Linked DNA regions of Drosophila melanogaster. The protein of the gene in region 4 purifies or fractionates together with the protein of the main gene of each other region. This does not show direct contact. Each region holds a gene or a part of one and is shown on either strand. Other genes may lie near its edges. The genes, in order: GstE6, Rab3, Prx6c and Gdi.

Region 1 (3,013 bases), on a different chromosome or scaffold from region 4:
AAGTGGCTTGGTAATGCTTCTCAGTGCATTAGCGAAGATCACTCCGGACTCGAAATGCAATCGCTGATCCACGACAGCACGCTGGAGGAGATCTTTCGGATAGAGACTGTCCGTTTTGCCGTATTTGGACACCAGATAGGCAATAATGGCATGTGAGTCCCAGATATAATGTCCATCGTCCTCCAACGTGGGCACCGTGTGCTGTGGATTCTTCTTCAGAAACTCCTCAGAGAAGTTTTCCTTGGCCCGAGTGTTTACCTCCACGAATTCGTAGGGAACCTCCAGGGCAGCCAAGGTCAATTTGACGGCACGAACTGGTGGACTTGCCTCCAAGCCGTACAGTATCAATTTGGGCATCTTGTCGCTGGGTAGAGTCTCGTCTATTACTAAACGTCAACAGCGAAGAGTCACTATATTTATAGAATTTCGAAAGAGAGTAATTAAGAGAAGCGAGAGCAGTAGATAAGAAAGTCAGTTAGGTTTTTGCTCTCGCCTCTTCTATTCATTTGTGTCCAAATCAATTATTTCACCACAAAAATTCAAAAGCTCTAGAGTTTTCTAAGCAATTATTTATTGTGACTATATAAACTGTAAAATAATATCATGCTTCGAATGTGAAATTGGTCTTCTTGAAAATGGCCACCAACTGGCGGACGCCCTTGCCATTGGCTTCCTCGTAGTATGGAAGCTGTTCCAGCTTTTTGATCCAAGCACCGATCCTGGGATACTTAGTCGTATCCAAGGCCACGAAGGCCTCAAGGGAGGCCACCGATGAAACGAGACTGAAATCCGCAATGGTCAGTTGATTGCCAGCAATGTAATCCTGTCCCTTGAGAAAAGTTTCCACAAAATCGTAGATCTCGATAATGGCATCGTATCGCTCCTTGGGTACTTTCGTCTGTCCCTGGAAGAGCACTGACTTCGATATGCTCCTTATGCCATTGGCAAAGACCACTCCGGATTCAAAGTGCAGCCGCTGATCCACAACAGCCCGCTTGAGAGGATCTTTCGGGTATAGGGCATCGGAATCGGCATATTTCGAGACCAAATAGGCAATAATGGCATGCGAATCCCAGATGTAGTGACCGTCATCCTCCAGGGTGGGCACCGTATGCTGTGGATTCTTCTCCAGATATTCCGGTGAAAGTTGGGCACGAGCCACAATGTCAACGTTTACATATTCGTAGGTTAGGTTTAGAGCGGCCAAAGTAAGCTTAACAGCGCGAACTGGGGGACTGGGGTCCAAACCGTATAAAGTCAATTTCACCATCTTGTCGCTGTGGGGTCTCTTTTCAAACTAACCCATAACTGCCGAATAACTAATATAATATACAAAACTTGGGATCAATGAAAGAGAAAATTTAAGAGAGATTCCGTGTACTTGAAAAAATCTCTATATTTACTGCACTTTACAAGTCAATAATAATATGTATGAATGTGAATATATGTCTAATCATGCATACATATGTATATCTTTGTCATACTAGAATATTCTAGTGTCTTTGGTCATACAAACCCAAATTTTTAAGTATCCTCCTACTCTTTTGAACTCACTTTACTTTTCTTTTTATGTTTATTTTTAACCTATCCCAACATCTAAAATAAAAAAAAAACTGATTAAAAGTATTTTAGCGCGAACATATGAGAGCACTATATGAATCACAAACATAGAACAACAAGTATTCTGTGATAACCGCTTATCATATGTGAAAATGATTACACAGTACTCGGGCAGAAAATACAAGTCATGCTGACAGAGGTTAATAAAATGGAAAGCCCTCGAAAATGTTTGTTGCCGGCAAGAATATATATATTATCTATGTATGTAGCGACATTCTGTAATAGGTTCTCTGTGTACTTAATACACATTTCATTCTCTTGCTACTTTAATGGAACTAACTAAGTTCTCTTGTTTCCTACAGCGATATTTCTCTTAAATCTAAAATATAAAGAGATAAAAAACCGCAATATTTACAAGTTTCCAAATTATTTATTATAATTTCAGAACTCTAGGTTGCAAAGGTGAAATTAGTGGACTTTAGAATGGTCTCCAACTCCCGGGCTCCCTTCGCATTGGCCTCCTCGTAGTAAGGCAGCTTCTCCAAACGCCTGACCCATTCGATGATCCTGGGATATTTCAACCTATCGATCTCCACGAACGCCACCAGCGAGGTAATCGACGAGATCAGGCTAAAATCGGCAATGGTCAACTGATCCCCAGCAATGTAATCATGTCCAGCGAGGAAGGTCTCCACAAAGTCATAGATCTCGACAATGGCATCGTAGCGTTCCTTGGGAATCCTGTTCAGGCCATTAAAGAATAACGGCTTGGTAATGGCCTTAATGCCATTGGCGAAAACCACTCCTGTCTCGAAGTGCAGTCGTTGATCCACCACAGCTCGCTGGAGCAGATCTCTGGGATACAGGGCATCCGAATCTGCATATTTGGACACCAGATACGCGATAATGGCATGCGAGTCCCAAATGTAGTTACCATCATCCTCCAGTGTTGGCACCGTGTGCTCTGGATTCTTTTTTAGATATTCCTCAGAAAGCTGCTCCTGACCCGAAATATTAACGTTTACAAACTCATAGGGCAGCTGGAGGGCAGCCAGAGTGAGTTTGACGGCACGAACTGGTGGACTGGGATTCACACCATATAGAGTTAACTTGACCATGTTTGCACTTTGAGTTAACGTTCTCTACTGACTGATTCTTGGGATCGAGCGCGTACAAATGTTGTTACCAAATGGAAAGGTTAAGAGAGCATGGCTAAGAGACATTTCTAAGAGAATTTTTGTTGGTTCTTGTTGATTGGTCCTTTAAGAGTTGATTCGTGTAGAGAATAACATAAGTTTCAATGAAACATTAAAAATTTGTGTAATTACAAATTCTGTAGATACTGTTCTGCTTAAATTATGCAATCATTTGATACGGTCTAACGGTTCGTCGAACGATAATCGAAATTGTTTAAGTACTTTCGTGAAAACAATCTAGAACTGACTCACTCAAA
Region 2 (4,897 bases), on a different chromosome or scaffold from region 4:
TAAGCGTGCAGCACTGTTTGCAACCATAATAAAAACAACGGAAAAAGTGTTTATTGCAATTTTAAAAGAGAGCAGTAAAGTTTATCTCATCTTTGGAGGCGCGATGGAGAGCGGATTTGATAAGAGCTGATAAGACGCAGCCAGCTTCGCAAGCACCTTTAAAAGCATGCTCAGTACCAAATCGCCTTCCATTGGGATTGGGTATCAACTCAAAGCGGATCCAGAATGCATTTCGGAGTCTTGGGAAGCGGTATCATTGGTCTTACGACCGCCTTAGAACTCCAGAAGGAGTTTCCCACAGCAAGGGTTTCCGTGATTGCGGATCGGTTTAACGAGGACACCGTCAGCTATGTGGCGGCTGGAATTTTCCGACCTGGAACCAGCTTTATGGGCCCCACCCAGAAAATTACGCAGTGAGAATCTGTTTGGGATTCAAACACACCTGTTGTGCATCTAACGACTTTTCTTTTCATCGTAGACAATGGATGACCGATGCCTTCAACTACTGGGATGAGCTGCGTCGCTCCAAGGAGGCTCCTCTGGCGGGCGTGTGCCAATTATCCGGCTATATTTACTCCCGCACCTCCCCCTCCATCGTACGGGTACGTTGCCGGGCAGTCGACAATCAGTGATTCTTATCTTCATCGGCTTAATTCGATTAACTTTGTTGTTGGCTGCCTTAGAACCACTTTATTGAGAAACTATTGCCCGTCTACCGAAGAGCCACCGAGGAGGAACTGAGGCTATGCAACGGCGGCTGGAAGTACGGATCCTTCTTCACCACATGCCTAACGGAAAGCCGCCTCTTCTTGCCCTATGCCACTAAAAAGTGAGTAGCTGTTTTATGATATGAAAGAGAAACAATTTGAAAATAATCGTAAATATTAACATATTGTAGATTCCTGGAGAACGGAGGAGAGGTTGTCCGTCAGCATGTGAACAGCTTTTTCGAAGTGCCGCAGAACATTGACTTGCTCCTTAACTGCACCGGAATGGGAGCCAAGGAGTTGTGTGGGGACCAGCACTTGGTTCCCATTCGGGGTCAAGTGCTCAAAGTGCGTGCTCCCTGGGTAAAGACGGCTTTCTACGGCGATTACGACACCTACGTTCTTCCCGGATTTGAGACTGTGACCCTGGGAGGATGTCGCCAATTCGACAGCTACAACACCGAGTGGTGCAAATACGATAGCATGGCCATTCGAGAGCGTTGCTACGATTTGCTGCCCAGTCTCCGGAAAGCGGAGATCGTGCGGGAATGTGTTGGTCTGCGGCCACACCGCTCCGTCGTTCGGGTGGAGCCAGAACTGATCACGAATCCGGAAGGCAGGCGGCTGAAGGTAGTCCACAACTACGGCCACGGCGGCTACGGTGTGACCACGGCTCCTGGAACGGCTATGTACGCAGTTCGATTGGTACGCGATCTACTAGCGGGAAACAGTAAACTGTAGGTGGTAAAATCGTTGTTAATTGTTGGTCATTAAACTCTTTATACTCAGAATCTTTGAACCCAGATTTGATTTGGATTTTTTATTGTGCAATAAACTAATTGCAGTTCTCAAGGTTGCGATATGCGCCAGTTCCAAAGGTTTCAAGAAGGAATATTTAGAATATTTAAAGAAACAATTCTTATAAATTTTATTTACTGTTTTTATGAGTTCCTTGGTCTATATTGTTTCAGGATAAGAACATGGGTTCACAAAGTGAACGAATAAATTCGCGCCCACGAATAAATTCAAATGAACCCCTGGGCCAGTGCTCCACAAGGCTGCGGAAGTGCGAAGTGCGCATGACCGGCGCATGAATGGAAAGCTCGCCCGAAATCGCCGCGAAAGCTACGCCCACACACAGACACCCCAGGCACGGAAACCCATCGATTTTCAGCAGCAGGAAAAGCAGCAGGGAAATTGTGTGGGCAGCAGCCAGTCATCCAGTCAGTCAGTTAGCCAGCCAGTCAGCCAGGTTGAAACAGTTGAATTATGAAAACGTATACAAAACTGGCCCGTTTTCGCCGCACCAGTCAATTCGCCGCCTGAGAGCGAAGAAAAAATTGAAAATTGTGTGTCCTTTGGTGTCGACGTGTCGAGGCAAAAAGGTAGAACAGTTGGTGCGTTGCATTTGCTGAATAATTGAGCCACTGCAGCCGGAGTCAGTTCAATTCTGGCCAGACGAGTGGGTCCGCGGGCGTGTGAATAGTTGATTGGGTAACCGTAAACAACTCGACGAATCAATCGACGTGAAATCGCGGCGTATGTCAGTCCAGTGCCAAGGCTGAGTCGAGTCCTTTTCCTTATCCCTTCAGCGAAAGGAGCTGCCATTATCGATTTGTGTGTATGTGCGAGCAACAACACGGCGTACCTCTCACCCACACATCGAAAACAGCAGGATATTCTTGTGACAGCAGGATCTGCAGCAGCACCATCATAAACAGCAACTGAGATATTAGCAGCAGATACTACTGTAACCGCAATAACCTCAAGAAAGAGTAAGTTTATCTGACACATTAAGTATCCGCCATGATGGACCAAAATGGGTGAATGGGGGTACTAGTTCCAGCTAAAACCAAAATACCTGAGTTTTCGCATCAAAAACTTTGCAGTATCAGTTCCATATTGTCAAATAATGAGGCCGTTGGTTGGAATTTATTATTTTTACATTAAACTTCATTGATTTTGACATTATAAAGATTACACATCAACTTTTTAAAAGTATTTAAAAGGTATTTAATAACTCAATGTTACTTTTATAGTAGTTCCAAAAAAACTTCTGATGGATTTCAGCTTAGTGTATCATATCTTATTGACAATAGATATGGGCTATACATACATATGAATGTGGCCAAATAATACATATGTAGTTTTACAACTTCCAGGAAAGAGTTAATTGTTTATTCCCATTGATTGATAACTCGGTATTTATGCACATGCCTAATATTTACGTTTGACAACAAACCTTAAATTGAAACTTTTCCAATTGGAACCGTTAAGGCAGGATTGAGTTCTCGTTTTGGCCAATATTGGGTTTCTTATCAATAATTAAACAAGCCCGCAGCTGCCGACCGCTGAACAGCTGCCAAATCATTGGAAATTTGAAACATGAAAGAGCAGTTAAGGGGGTGGGTAATGGGGGCAGGGTCTGGCAGCCACCCCCACGCAGGGGGAAAACAACAGAAAAATCGATAATTACACGCAGTCGAGCAGATAAAAACATTTCCACACAGCGCCTGTGATAAGGGCCGTCTGCCGTTGAAGACCTCTTATTGCGGCCCCTCTTTGGTGTCTGCGTTTGGGTTTGGGTTTGGGTTTGGGTTCGGGCCCCTCCAGGATATTTCTGGGCCTGAAGAGGCTTGACAGGAGCGAAGCCTGTCCTTTTGCCAGCAAAATCCTTGACGATGACGCGCGCACTCGGTCCTTCTACACCAAGTCGTTCATCAGCAATCTGACAGCGTTTTGCCGCTGCGCAACTTCTGATTCTGGACGGGGGAAATAAGGATGAGCGGAAACGGAACCAGGAGAACCAGGCTATATACACAAATTATCGACACAATGTCGCCGCCTTCATTGCATATGGAAAACAGGCAGCCAACCATCCCGAATGGCAAACTGTAAGCCGAGACTGTTGTCACTTGCCCAAGCCAAGGCTGAAAGTTTTCAAGGCCGCACCAGCCCACCAGCCCACCAACCCGCCGTTCAGCTCTGAAATTCGCTTTGAGTTTTCCCAGTGACGTGACAGGGATAATCAAGTGGGTCCTTTCCCAAGTCAGGCCGCTAAAGCCAACCCCTCCCGCCTACTCCAAGGATTAAAAGTCAAGGGAATTGGGGGGTTATGCTTTAGAAAATATAAACGCAACTTGTTTAATCCACACGCACGCGATTCAATCACTTCCGGGCACAGAGAGAACTCCGGTTGGCCACCAGTTGGCCTTGACCGGTGTTTCATGTGCACCATCTAGCCCCACCGGTTCTTCGTGCAGCATGGACCACAAATGGAGTGTCTATGGATGACATAAAGGTTGATAATAGCACATTAGCTACTCGACCAGCTCCATGCGAATTCCGATGTTGACGCCATCGCCCACGCCGCAAAAGGCATCGGCCTTGCAGCCATTCTGTACACCCATGTTTCTTCCCGTTCCTCTGTTATGGATCATTAGCTCCTCCGGTGTATCCTGATGGATGCCGCACTTGGACTTGGATTCATTGACACCGCTGAATATCACAATGCCAGGATTGCAAAAGTTACCCTGATTGGGAGCCATCATAGGCATCTGAGATGGCTGTTCCAGTTGCCTAGGCGAATCCTTCCGCATCAGCGTAGTCATGCATATGCTAGTGTTGCTGCTACTAGTTATTATGGTCGTGGTATCTATGGTCTCAATTAGCTGACCTTCATCCTCGGAAGCAGCGATGGCCGCCTCGCTTGCTTGCTCCTGCTGAGCTTTCAAGTCGCTTTCCCTTTGCCGCTCCAGTTCGCGCTCTAGTTCCAATTGCTGCTCCTGCTCGATACGTTCCTCTTCGTGCTCCTCCTGAGCTTGAGCCTGGCATAGCTCCACATGCATTCTGGACAACTGGGCGGCATCGTATGGGCAGAAGCAGTTTAGGCTTACAACTCGATTGCCCATGTGCTGGACTGGTCGGCTGTTACGGGCTATGGGCGAGATCCCATCCGGACCTAGGAGCAAACGAAAGTGACGCAGCTGAAAGTCGCTAATGGCTAGGGATTCGGGAAAGATGAACCATTCGGTGCCCTGGTAACAGGGCGGATGGGTCAGCGAACCGCCGTAGGAATAGAATCCAGATCGAAATTGATACATCAAGTAGGATATGGGAAATGGAGAAATCTGGACACGCTTTCCAGGCTTCTGAACCAATCGCAAATTCTGCACCAGGGGATCCAGGAA
Region 3 (3,361 bases), on a different chromosome or scaffold from region 4:
TGCGAACGAGAAAGTTCAACATATGTATAATAAAATGAATAAATTTCAAAGGCGTTCATGCAGACGGACAGCTCAGCCTCGACTCGGATATTGATCATGATCAAGAATTTATATACTTCATATGGTCGATAAGGCATCATTTTATTTGTTTTATGCTTTTTAAGAAATCCCAGTATATCCTTTTACTCTACGACTAATGGTTTTAAAAACTGATGCATTCCGAATAAGAACACTACGATTTTGATAAAATAAAAAACCAAATAATTTGTCAAAAAAGGTACACCATCTCATTTTCACTATTATTCCATCGTATATATTATACAGTTTTGACTTATTTACCAACTGCAATAGAAATACATCAATAGATTAAAATCACTATACCATCCGCAAGGAAATAAAAAACAGACATTATACAATCTAAAAGAACGTCAAAATCGCAGTAACTCCCCTAATTCTGATTGGATTACATTATTCTCCAAAAATTTCTTTCATTAAATCAATTAAAATAGTTTGGATATTTTGTTAAAATAATTTTTTATTAAATAAATGAACTGCACATAGTATATAGTATATGTCAGGAAATACGGCACATTATTGAATGGATCACAAATGGGGAACGGTTTTGTGTCAGTAGTTGTCAGTGGTGCGGACGTAGTTTACTCCAGACGGCATGGATACCTTATCAAATCCCTTGGGGAAGAGTTTATGAGCCTCTTCATCGGTGACAGTGGGCAGGATCATGACCTTAGTGCCAGGCTGTTTATGAAACAGAATTAATTAGTTCGGAACAGTTCGCATTAAGTGGGTAGAAAAACTTACGGTCCAGTTGGCGGGAGTGGCCACCACCTTGAGGCGATCAGTCAGCTGGAGGGAGTCAATGGTCCTCAGAATCTCGCTGTAAGATTAAAGGATCGTCAGTTGAGATTAACAATAGTTGTAGCCCGAAAGAGGTACTTACTCAACGTTGCGACCAGTGGACATGGGGTAGAACATGGAGAGGCGCACCTTATGGTCCGGACTGATGATGAACAGGGCGCGGATGGTCTTGCCCACCTCGGGATCCTTCTTCTGCTCCTCGTCGAGCATGCCCAGGCTGACGGCCAGGTCGCGAGTAGGGTCGGCGATGATCGGGTAGGGGAAGTCCCCGGGAATGTCCAGGCAATAGCTCTTGATGTCGTTCACCCAGTCCACGTGCGAGTTCAATGCGTCAACGGAATGTGCCAGGCACTTGGTGTTCCGCTTGGCAAACTCCGGCTGGTGCACCGCAATCCTGCCCAGCTCAGTGGTGCAGACGGGAGTAAAGTCGGCGGGGTGAGAGAAGAGCACCACCCAGCTGGCGATCCGAAGAAGAATTGGTAAGATTCGATCAGAGAAAAAGGGTTTGATGGCACTTACGAGTTGCCCTGCCACTCGTGGAATTTAATGGGCCCCTTGGTTGTGTCGGCCTCGAAGTTAGGTACGGTCTGTCCCAAACGCATCTTGCTGTTTGATTATTAGTTTCAAAAAAACTTAGTTGCTCAACTGGTAGCTGCTTTTAGCTCGCACACTTGTTGCTTACTGAATACTGACTGGGAGAGCTGGCTGTCTTTTATACCCAACGTGATCGACGTAAATAGCGGGTGCGATAGAGATAGGAAATGGGCGCTCCCTCAACGCGCGTGTTTGTTTGTAGTATATTATTCTGTGAACAGATTATAAAACAATACTGAACAGATTGTGGAGTAGTTTGCTTTGGTGGGGGGAGTGGGAAACCTTGAGCATGGTGTCATGTGTGTGAAACTCGACAGGGGCCTCTACAAAACGTGGTACATAATTTGGACTTTGAGACGAAATGCTTCTGGAAGTATCTTAGAATAAAGTACTGTTTTCCTTATTTGGTTCTTCATTAATCTCATTTTAAAAGTCCAATAGGCGCAAACTCCTTTAGCATCTAACATCCAAACAGCTGATCTGGTCCAGCTGACAGATAAGCCGGTTCCAAACATAAACAGAGAGCCAGAGAGCATTTAAATGTTAAATGGTATTGGTAAATAGAGGCGAAGCACCAACACCTGCAAACATACAGCCACATCGATAGGCGGATATTGAGAGCAAGAGAGCGCCGAGCAGTGTGATGGTATTTGTGAGTGCCTCCAAAAATCGCACACTTCCATAGATCGCACGGCTCTCCCGTTCACGTACACAAAACGAGCCTCCAATTGAAAGTGAAGAGCGAGTGAAATCATGAGACTGTGTGCGTGGGTCTATCGAATATTAAGCACACCAGCATAGGTTTTTTTTTCAGTAAAACACACAAATAGTTCGAATGGGTTTTGGAAAGTCGGATGGGCAGATCGCTAACTCAGAAGACAGTACCCAAATGGGATTCAGATGGTTGAAATTAAAATAAAAGATATAGTCATCATGGATATTCAAAATGCAGCAAGTGTTAAATTTATTTAGAGGTGGGTTATCTTTAACAAAATTGGATTCACTTCCAATAGCTCGATCGTATTTCCTAAGTTACTAGTACATTCGTAAGAGGGTGCTAGTTATAAGGTCTAATCTAAGAATTCAGAAACCTTCGTCTCTATAATAAACGTTTTGTAGTAATTTTCCATTACTTATCAGTTTTGTGATACCGAAAATAGAATTTGTTTTAATCGTTAAAAATTTAATGACCTACTTATTAATAACAATTAATAAAATTAGTTTAAAAATATTCGATATTTTGTAACCCAGCTTATTTAAGCTCACAAATTATCTTGTTTAAAAAACAACCCTAATAATAAGAACAAAACAATAACAACAATGTAAGAAAATGTGTTTCTTTTTGACTACCTCTCTTAATTAAAACTTATGAGGATTTTCACTTATAGCCGCAAGAATTCAATTTGGCCGCGCATATCGTTGATATTAATCCTTATAAATATGTTACATTTAAAAAAACATCAGAAAGAAACCCGCCGCCAAAAGGATGTATAAAAATATTCGTTTTCGCCTGAAAGTATGCCCCAGCAGACGATTTTGCTTACCAGCTTGATGCATTAACAAAATGGCTTACAAATGTAAGTCAACCAATATTTTGGCTGAGAGTCTCAACTTGAGACTGATATTAGTGTTCCAAAAGCTATTCTATTTTCGCATCGGTGACTGTAGGAAGAGCTTTTGCGCCTGAAAGCTAACGCTTGAAGTCAGCTTCCGAACAGCTGATTTTGATAAGCACCGCAATCGCCCACGCCGCATGTTTTCCTTTCTGCTTTCCTTCTTTGCTTTCGCTTTGCTTTGCTTTTTGGCGCTCCGGCTCAGTTCAAATTTAGCGATGCGCGCGTGCGGTAGCTGAGCGGTCGAAACATAACGGTAAACGGTCCTCGAAACTGTT
Region 4 (5,924 bases):
CAAATGCCGGTAAGACAAAGAGAGAGAGAGATAGAAGGGGAAAGAGGATGGAGAAGCCAGAACGATCGGAGGCTGTGTGAATGAGTGAGCGAGATGGATGCGAGCAGGTAAAAAACCCGTCGTATATTTTGGGAGGATGGGGGCCGAGGGCGGTGGGCGGGGCAGTTGGTCTGCAACGCCTAACTGGTTCTTGGCAACCAACTTGTTTTTTCTGTAGATTGCCGCCGTCTGTGCTTTATTATGTTTTTTCCCTCCGACTTTATGCCTGTGCAATTTTTAATATGGCAACTTGATTTAAACGAAAAACTTACCCAATAAAATCGTAGACGTGGATTTATGCTTGTTTTTCGATCAATTCAATTGCCTGCGGTTATTTTATCCTTGCCTTCGTGGGGGTTTTGTTTTATATTTTTTGTTTGAAACTATTTTTACACGGGGATGAAAACAACTTTTCAGCATGGCAACAATACAAAAATGTTGCAGCACATTCAAAGCAACAACAAGAACAACAGGGAGGTAACATATGATAACCGAGGTCAGGCGGAAAGTGTGAGCGGGACAGGAGATTATCTTTTTGTTTTCTATTTTGTATGTTTCCTCAGCGAAGGAATTACAATAAATAATTATTTCCCAAAGACTTTATTTCACTTGGAGCACAGCATAAAAAATCCCTGAGCCGCTCACTTTTTCACTTCCTTTTGTTGGGGTTTTCGTCTTTTTTTTCGAACTTATTTTTTGCCACGAACTCGAGGTTTGGTTTGTTGTTGTTGCTAAGAATTTCAATACAATTATGGCCCAAATAGCATTTTCACTTTTCCACACAAGCACGCAGCCACCGCACGCACACACACTCACACAAGTACACAGTTGTTTGGCTCCGTTTTAAATGAAAATATAATCAAACATTTACATTGCCGTGTGTTTTTGCTCCACGAAAATGTATGATTATGTATGATTAGTTTTCCTTGCTCGCTGCACGCGCGAAAATCCGACGAAACAAAGAAACAAGAAACGACGCGAAGAGAACGTAACAACCTAAATAAACCCGATACAAAAATCGCGTCCGAATCGGCTCGTCGTTTCAACCAAAATCACCAGTAAAACTTTGCAGAGGCTTCGGGATGATGTGGCCAGACTCGCTAACTGTGCTAACAGCTGTAAGAAGAATGCCCCTAGTTTCGGAATAAATGTCTATCGTGTCTCCGATAATAAATGTACGCAAATGTTGGTTTTCTTGAAATTATTACATACATTGAAAAGTCTAATTGCTTATATTGTATTCTCTTTAAAATAAAAAGTAATGAACGAATGCGTGAGATATGATATAAATAGAGATCTCCAGTAACTTAAAACTCGATAGGTAAACAGCGTTCAAATACTGTTTACAATAATTGCTGAATATCTTTTTATATTTTATATGATCGATCTGTGAATCCTCCGTTTTGTTATTTTATAATGTCTTGCTTTATGCAAGACCAACACATGCATTTAACAAATTTAAATTGCAACTATAAATTTGCGCGCGCGACATGCAGCCCTGAAATGTCAATAATCTAGGAAATAAACTTTTGCAAAATCATAATCAATTCAAAAATCTTGCACACACGTCTCTAAATCTTTCGTACATTAATGCTCTGTGTGCAAATTAAATATCTTATATGCTTGTTTGGTTATTTCCTTATTTCCATGTACAATTAGCAGCCGATAGCAACTCTTTCTCATGCAGCCCTGGGCATGTACGAAAACGTAACGTAACGTGACCAGCAAACGGCGTGACGGCAAACGGGCAGCGCAAAGCGGACGAGCGAAAGGCGAACGAGTAGAGAAAAATTATTGAGCGCAGAGAAAAGTCCACCAAATCGAACGTCGCAGCAAGTGAAAAGGGCGAAAACCGGATAAAAAAAATATATAAATTACTGTGATTGCAATATATAAATAAGTGCGATCCAATATGAATGAGGAATACGATGCGATTGTGCTAGGAACGGGCCTCAAGGAGTGCATCCTCAGCGGGATGCTGTCCGTGTCCGGCAAGAAGGTTTTGCATATTGATCGAAACAAGTACTACGGCGGCGAGTCCGCCTCGATAACGCCGCTGGAGGAGCTCTTCCAGCGCTACGGACTGGAGCCGCCCGGCGAACGATTTGGGCGTGGCCGCGACTGGAACGTGGACCTGATCCCCAAGTTCCTGATGGCCAATGGCCAGCTGGTCAAGCTGCTGATCCACACGGGCGTCACCCGCTATCTGGAGTTCAAGTCCATCGAGGGCAGCTACGTTTACAAGGGCGGCAAGATAGCCAAGGTGCCGGTGGACCAAAAGGAGGCCCTGGCATCCGATCTCATGGGTTCGTTAATAATGCTCTTTTAAGTCCCGTTGCCTTTTTGCTTGGCGGTGAGCCCCCCACGAAAAATTGTGCAAATTACCAGCTGTGCTTGTGTGTGTGCGTGGTTGTATGTATGTATTTTCGTACTCGACTGTTATCTGCTTCCCCTCTCTCGCCCGCACCACTCTCTTTCTCTTCTCTTCTTTGTCTGCCTTTTCACTCGCTGGCAAAGCTCTTGTTGTTGTTATTCCCTTTTTTTTAATGTGACACGTATGTGTGTGCCGAAAAACAGTTGTTTTCTTCGCTCGCCAAAGAATTTCTACCAAAGTTTCCCCCACACATATCCATTTCCACACCATGTTTGTTGGCCCAACTATTATCGCCCTATTCCGATTGGAGTCGAAATTTTAATCGCTCTGCGCTGATTCATACACCTGCCGCTAATTGGTCGCCTCCATTTTACACCTGAATTTCGCTTTGTTTGAAATTTAAGTTTTTCCCTCTTCTTCGTGGCAGCAATGCAATTAGCTAAAACACGCTCTATTTATTTATGATTGGCTCTTGAATTTTTCCATTTCAATTTTTACTTAGTTTTTGCAACCAGGTTTTTGGCCAGGCGCATTGAACCCCCTTCACTTTACAGTGGAGATTGCCTATAAACGAAAACATTTCATGACTTTAGATGTACTACATTTTTTAATTTTTGTCTTTAATTATCAATAATTTGCATATAAAATAGAAATTTTCAATGAAAATGTGACTATTAGGTAGATTTTACTTCCGTTTGTAACAATACCTATTGGATGTCTCAATTTGCTAATTGAAAGTTAAACACCTTGTCCATGCTTCACTGTGTCCGCATTACACATATGCTCGGAATGACGTCATGGGGTGGCCAAGTGGTTTCTGATTGTTGGTGGTGTGTCCTCCGCCCCCTAAATTGAAGGTTTCCCACTGTAGTTGCGTGCTGTTGTCCCAGTGAGTGTCTGTATGTGAGTGTTTGTGGCATGCAAATGAAATGGAAACGGGAAACTTGAAACCCTCGGGCTCGTGCACTCCCTTTATATGCAGATCCTGAACCCCAAACTGACCAATATGGCATTATGGATATACATATATAAATGTGACTTTACTTGCAGGTATGTTCGAGAAGCGTCGCTTCCGGAACTTCCTCATCTACGTGCAGGATTTCCGAGAAGATGACCCCAAGACCTGGAAGGACTTTGACCCCACCAAGGCCAACATGCAGGGTCTGTACGACAAGTTCGGACTGGACAAGAACACGCAGGACTTCACCGGCCACGCCCTGGCCCTTTTCCGCGACGATGAGTATCTGAACGAGCCGGCCGTGAACACCATCCGGCGGATTAAGCTCTACTCCGATTCGCTGGCGCGTTACGGCAAGTCGCCCTACCTTTATCCCATGTACGGCCTGGGTGAGCTGCCCCAGGGATTCGCACGTCTGTCGGCCATCTACGGCGGCACCTACATGCTTGACAAGCCCATCGACGAGATTGTCCTCGGCGAGGGCGGCAAGGTGGTGGGAGTGCGCTCCGGCGAAGAGGTCGCCAAGTGCAAGCAGGTCTACTGCGATCCCAGCTACGTGCCCGAGAAGGTGAGATTCACAAAAGATTTGTGTAAACTAGCCTATTAGTCTTTTGGAAATAACCATGTATTACATTTCTTTTATGTGACAGGTGCGCAAGCGTGGCAAGGTGATTCGCTGCATTTGCATTCTGGACCATCCGGTGGCCAGCACCAAGGATGGTCTCTCCACGCAGATTATCATTCCACAAAAGCAGGTCGGCCGCAAGTCGGACATCTATGTGTCGCTTGTGAGCTCCACTCATCAGGTGGCCGCCAAGGGTTGGTTCGTGGGCATGGTCTCGACCACCGTTGAGACCGAGAACCCGGAGGTGGAGATCAAGCCTGGCTTGGACTTGCTGGAGCCGATCGCACAAAAGTTTGTAACCATTTCGGACTATTTGGAGCCGATCGATGATGGATCCGAGTCTCAAATCTTTATTTCGGAGTCTTACGATGCGACCACGCACTTTGAGACTACTTGCCTGGATGTGTTGAACATATTCAAGCGGGGCACTGGCGAGACGTTCGACTTCTCCAAGATCAAGCACGAGTTGGGTGACGAGGAGCAGTAAACGGGAATGAAGGCCTCATCTGGTTATGGTGCATTTGGACAGCTCAACATCAGCCACAAACATCGTAGATCGTCTCAGCGTCGTGGCCAAACCTTAAAAAAAAAAATACCCAAGATAAGAAAACCCAAAATAAAAGCCCAAAAAAACTAAAGAAAACCGAAAATCCAGAAATTGTATTACGAAAATGCTTTCCATCGAGAGATGAAGTTTTAGATGTGAAACGAATTGCTTGCTTCGCGCAATATTGGATATGCCTAGAAAATATATATATATATATACCAATATAACATAAATTATACAACATGCAGTCGCGTATATATGTACGTCTATATAAATGTATAACTAAGTGAGTGTTAGGCAACTAAATCAAATTCCACAGATTCAGCTTGTGACTCGAGCAAAAGCGCTAGACTCGACAAACACTCTCCCATTTCGCCGATAGGCCAGTCAGTCAGACGATTACGCTTGGACTTTAGTTGTACGAGTATATAATAAAGTATATATATATATATAAAATATGACATCGTATATATATATTATCTATGTATATTGCCCTTCTGCTTGGTTTTTCTTTCTTTTTTTTTTTTGTGATCCACCCAATTTGTGTGGCTGCCAAGGCTCCAAACGAAAGCATAACACATACCTATAAACACGACACAAACTCTTACACATGCATAGTGCAGCATTATAATTGTAATTGTAATCCCCAGAAAGAAATCGATGGTATTGAAAATGTAAAACAGTCGAAAAAGTTCATCGCAGCATATACCCAAAAATAATGCAATTGATCGAAGCGCGGCAAACGACATATAAAGAGAACAGAACCTAAGAAGTTTGTCAATGGTATAGAGAACTATGGTATTCCGCATTTTCAGAATTTACATTTTTAATAAAAATTAAAAAAATATAAACATTTTTTTTTTTATTTACTATTTTTATATTGAGGGATGTTATGTTTGCTTTCCTTTCCCCAAAAGTCTGGTTTCTTTTCGGATTAAGGAATCTTGTCCTGGAGTTTTTCCACCGACTCATTTTATTGAACGTTTTCAGTTTCCGGTTCCGTTCAAAATGTCACTTGAGTTTTATAGCTACCAGCTTTTTATATGTCCTGGAGCTTTTCACCTTTCACACAGACTCATTTAATTTGAGATTTTTAGTTCTGGTTCCAGCCAAAGTGGCACTGAGTTTTGACGTCTTCAGCTTTTGTAACAGCCAAATGGCGGCAGATTTAAACTACATCAGTATGCACTGCAGTCCACGTAGTGACGAAGCGCACCATAAGTGTGTGCCAAGGCGGCTACTATATACACACAGAGAAATGAAAATCTGCTGTTTGACAGATCCTGGAAGAATATGGAAAGGATTTAGACGTATTCTTTGAGGTGACTTAGGATGGTCTGGTCTGTAAAGGAAATGGAAGGGATCTGGCCTAATTCTGGGT

What was found.
Region 1: the proteins of Gdi (region 4) and GstE6 purify together in Drosophila melanogaster (affinity purification with mass spectrometry, with the first as the bait; one large-scale study listed by BioGRID). This does not show direct contact.
Region 2: the proteins of Gdi (region 4) and Rab3 purify together in Drosophila melanogaster (affinity purification with mass spectrometry, with the first as the bait; one large-scale study listed by BioGRID). This does not show direct contact.
Region 3: the proteins of Gdi (region 4) and Prx6c purify together in Drosophila melanogaster (affinity purification with mass spectrometry, with the first as the bait; one large-scale study listed by BioGRID). This does not show direct contact.

Annotation. Positions count from the first base shown.
Region 1 is NT_033778.4:18,404,299-18,407,311, reverse strand, and holds GstE6 (glutathione S transferase E6), read right to left. Parts: upstream 1,302-3,013; 5' UTR 1,271-1,301; coding exon 602-1,270; 3' UTR 551-601; downstream 1-550. Other genes in the region: GstE7 (glutathione S transferase E7), read right to left, coding at 1-357; GstE5 (glutathione S transferase E5), read right to left, coding at 2,010-2,678.
Region 2 is NT_033778.4:10,726,190-10,731,086, reverse strand, and holds the start of Rab3 (Rab3), read left to right. Parts: upstream 1-1,883; 5' UTR 1,884-2,482; intron 2,483-3,814; exon of another isoform or gene 3,815-4,027; coding exon of another isoform or gene 4,028-4,897. Other genes in the region: Daao1 (D-amino acid oxidase 1), read left to right, coding at 226-413, 479-602, 684-829, 899-1,448; CAH13 (carbonic anhydrase 13), read right to left, coding at 4,028-4,897. UniProt on the Drosophila melanogaster protein: Involved in exocytosis by regulating a late step in synaptic vesicle fusion. Could play a role in neurotransmitter release by regulating membrane flow in the nerve terminal.
Region 3 is NT_033778.4:10,416,922-10,420,282, reverse strand, and holds Prx6c (peroxiredoxin 6c), read right to left. Parts: upstream 1,566-3,361; 5' UTR 1,479-1,565; coding exon 1,396-1,478; intron 1,334-1,395; coding exon 959-1,333; intron 896-958; coding exon 820-895; intron 757-819; coding exon 628-756; 3' UTR 522-627; downstream 1-521.
Region 4 is NT_033779.5:9,490,643-9,496,566, reverse strand, and holds Gdi (GDP dissociation inhibitor), read left to right. Parts: upstream 1-1,690; 5' UTR 1,691-1,951; coding exon 1,952-2,345; intron 2,346-3,463; coding exon 3,464-3,939; intron 3,940-4,021; coding exon 4,022-4,483; 3' UTR 4,484-5,391; downstream 5,392-5,924.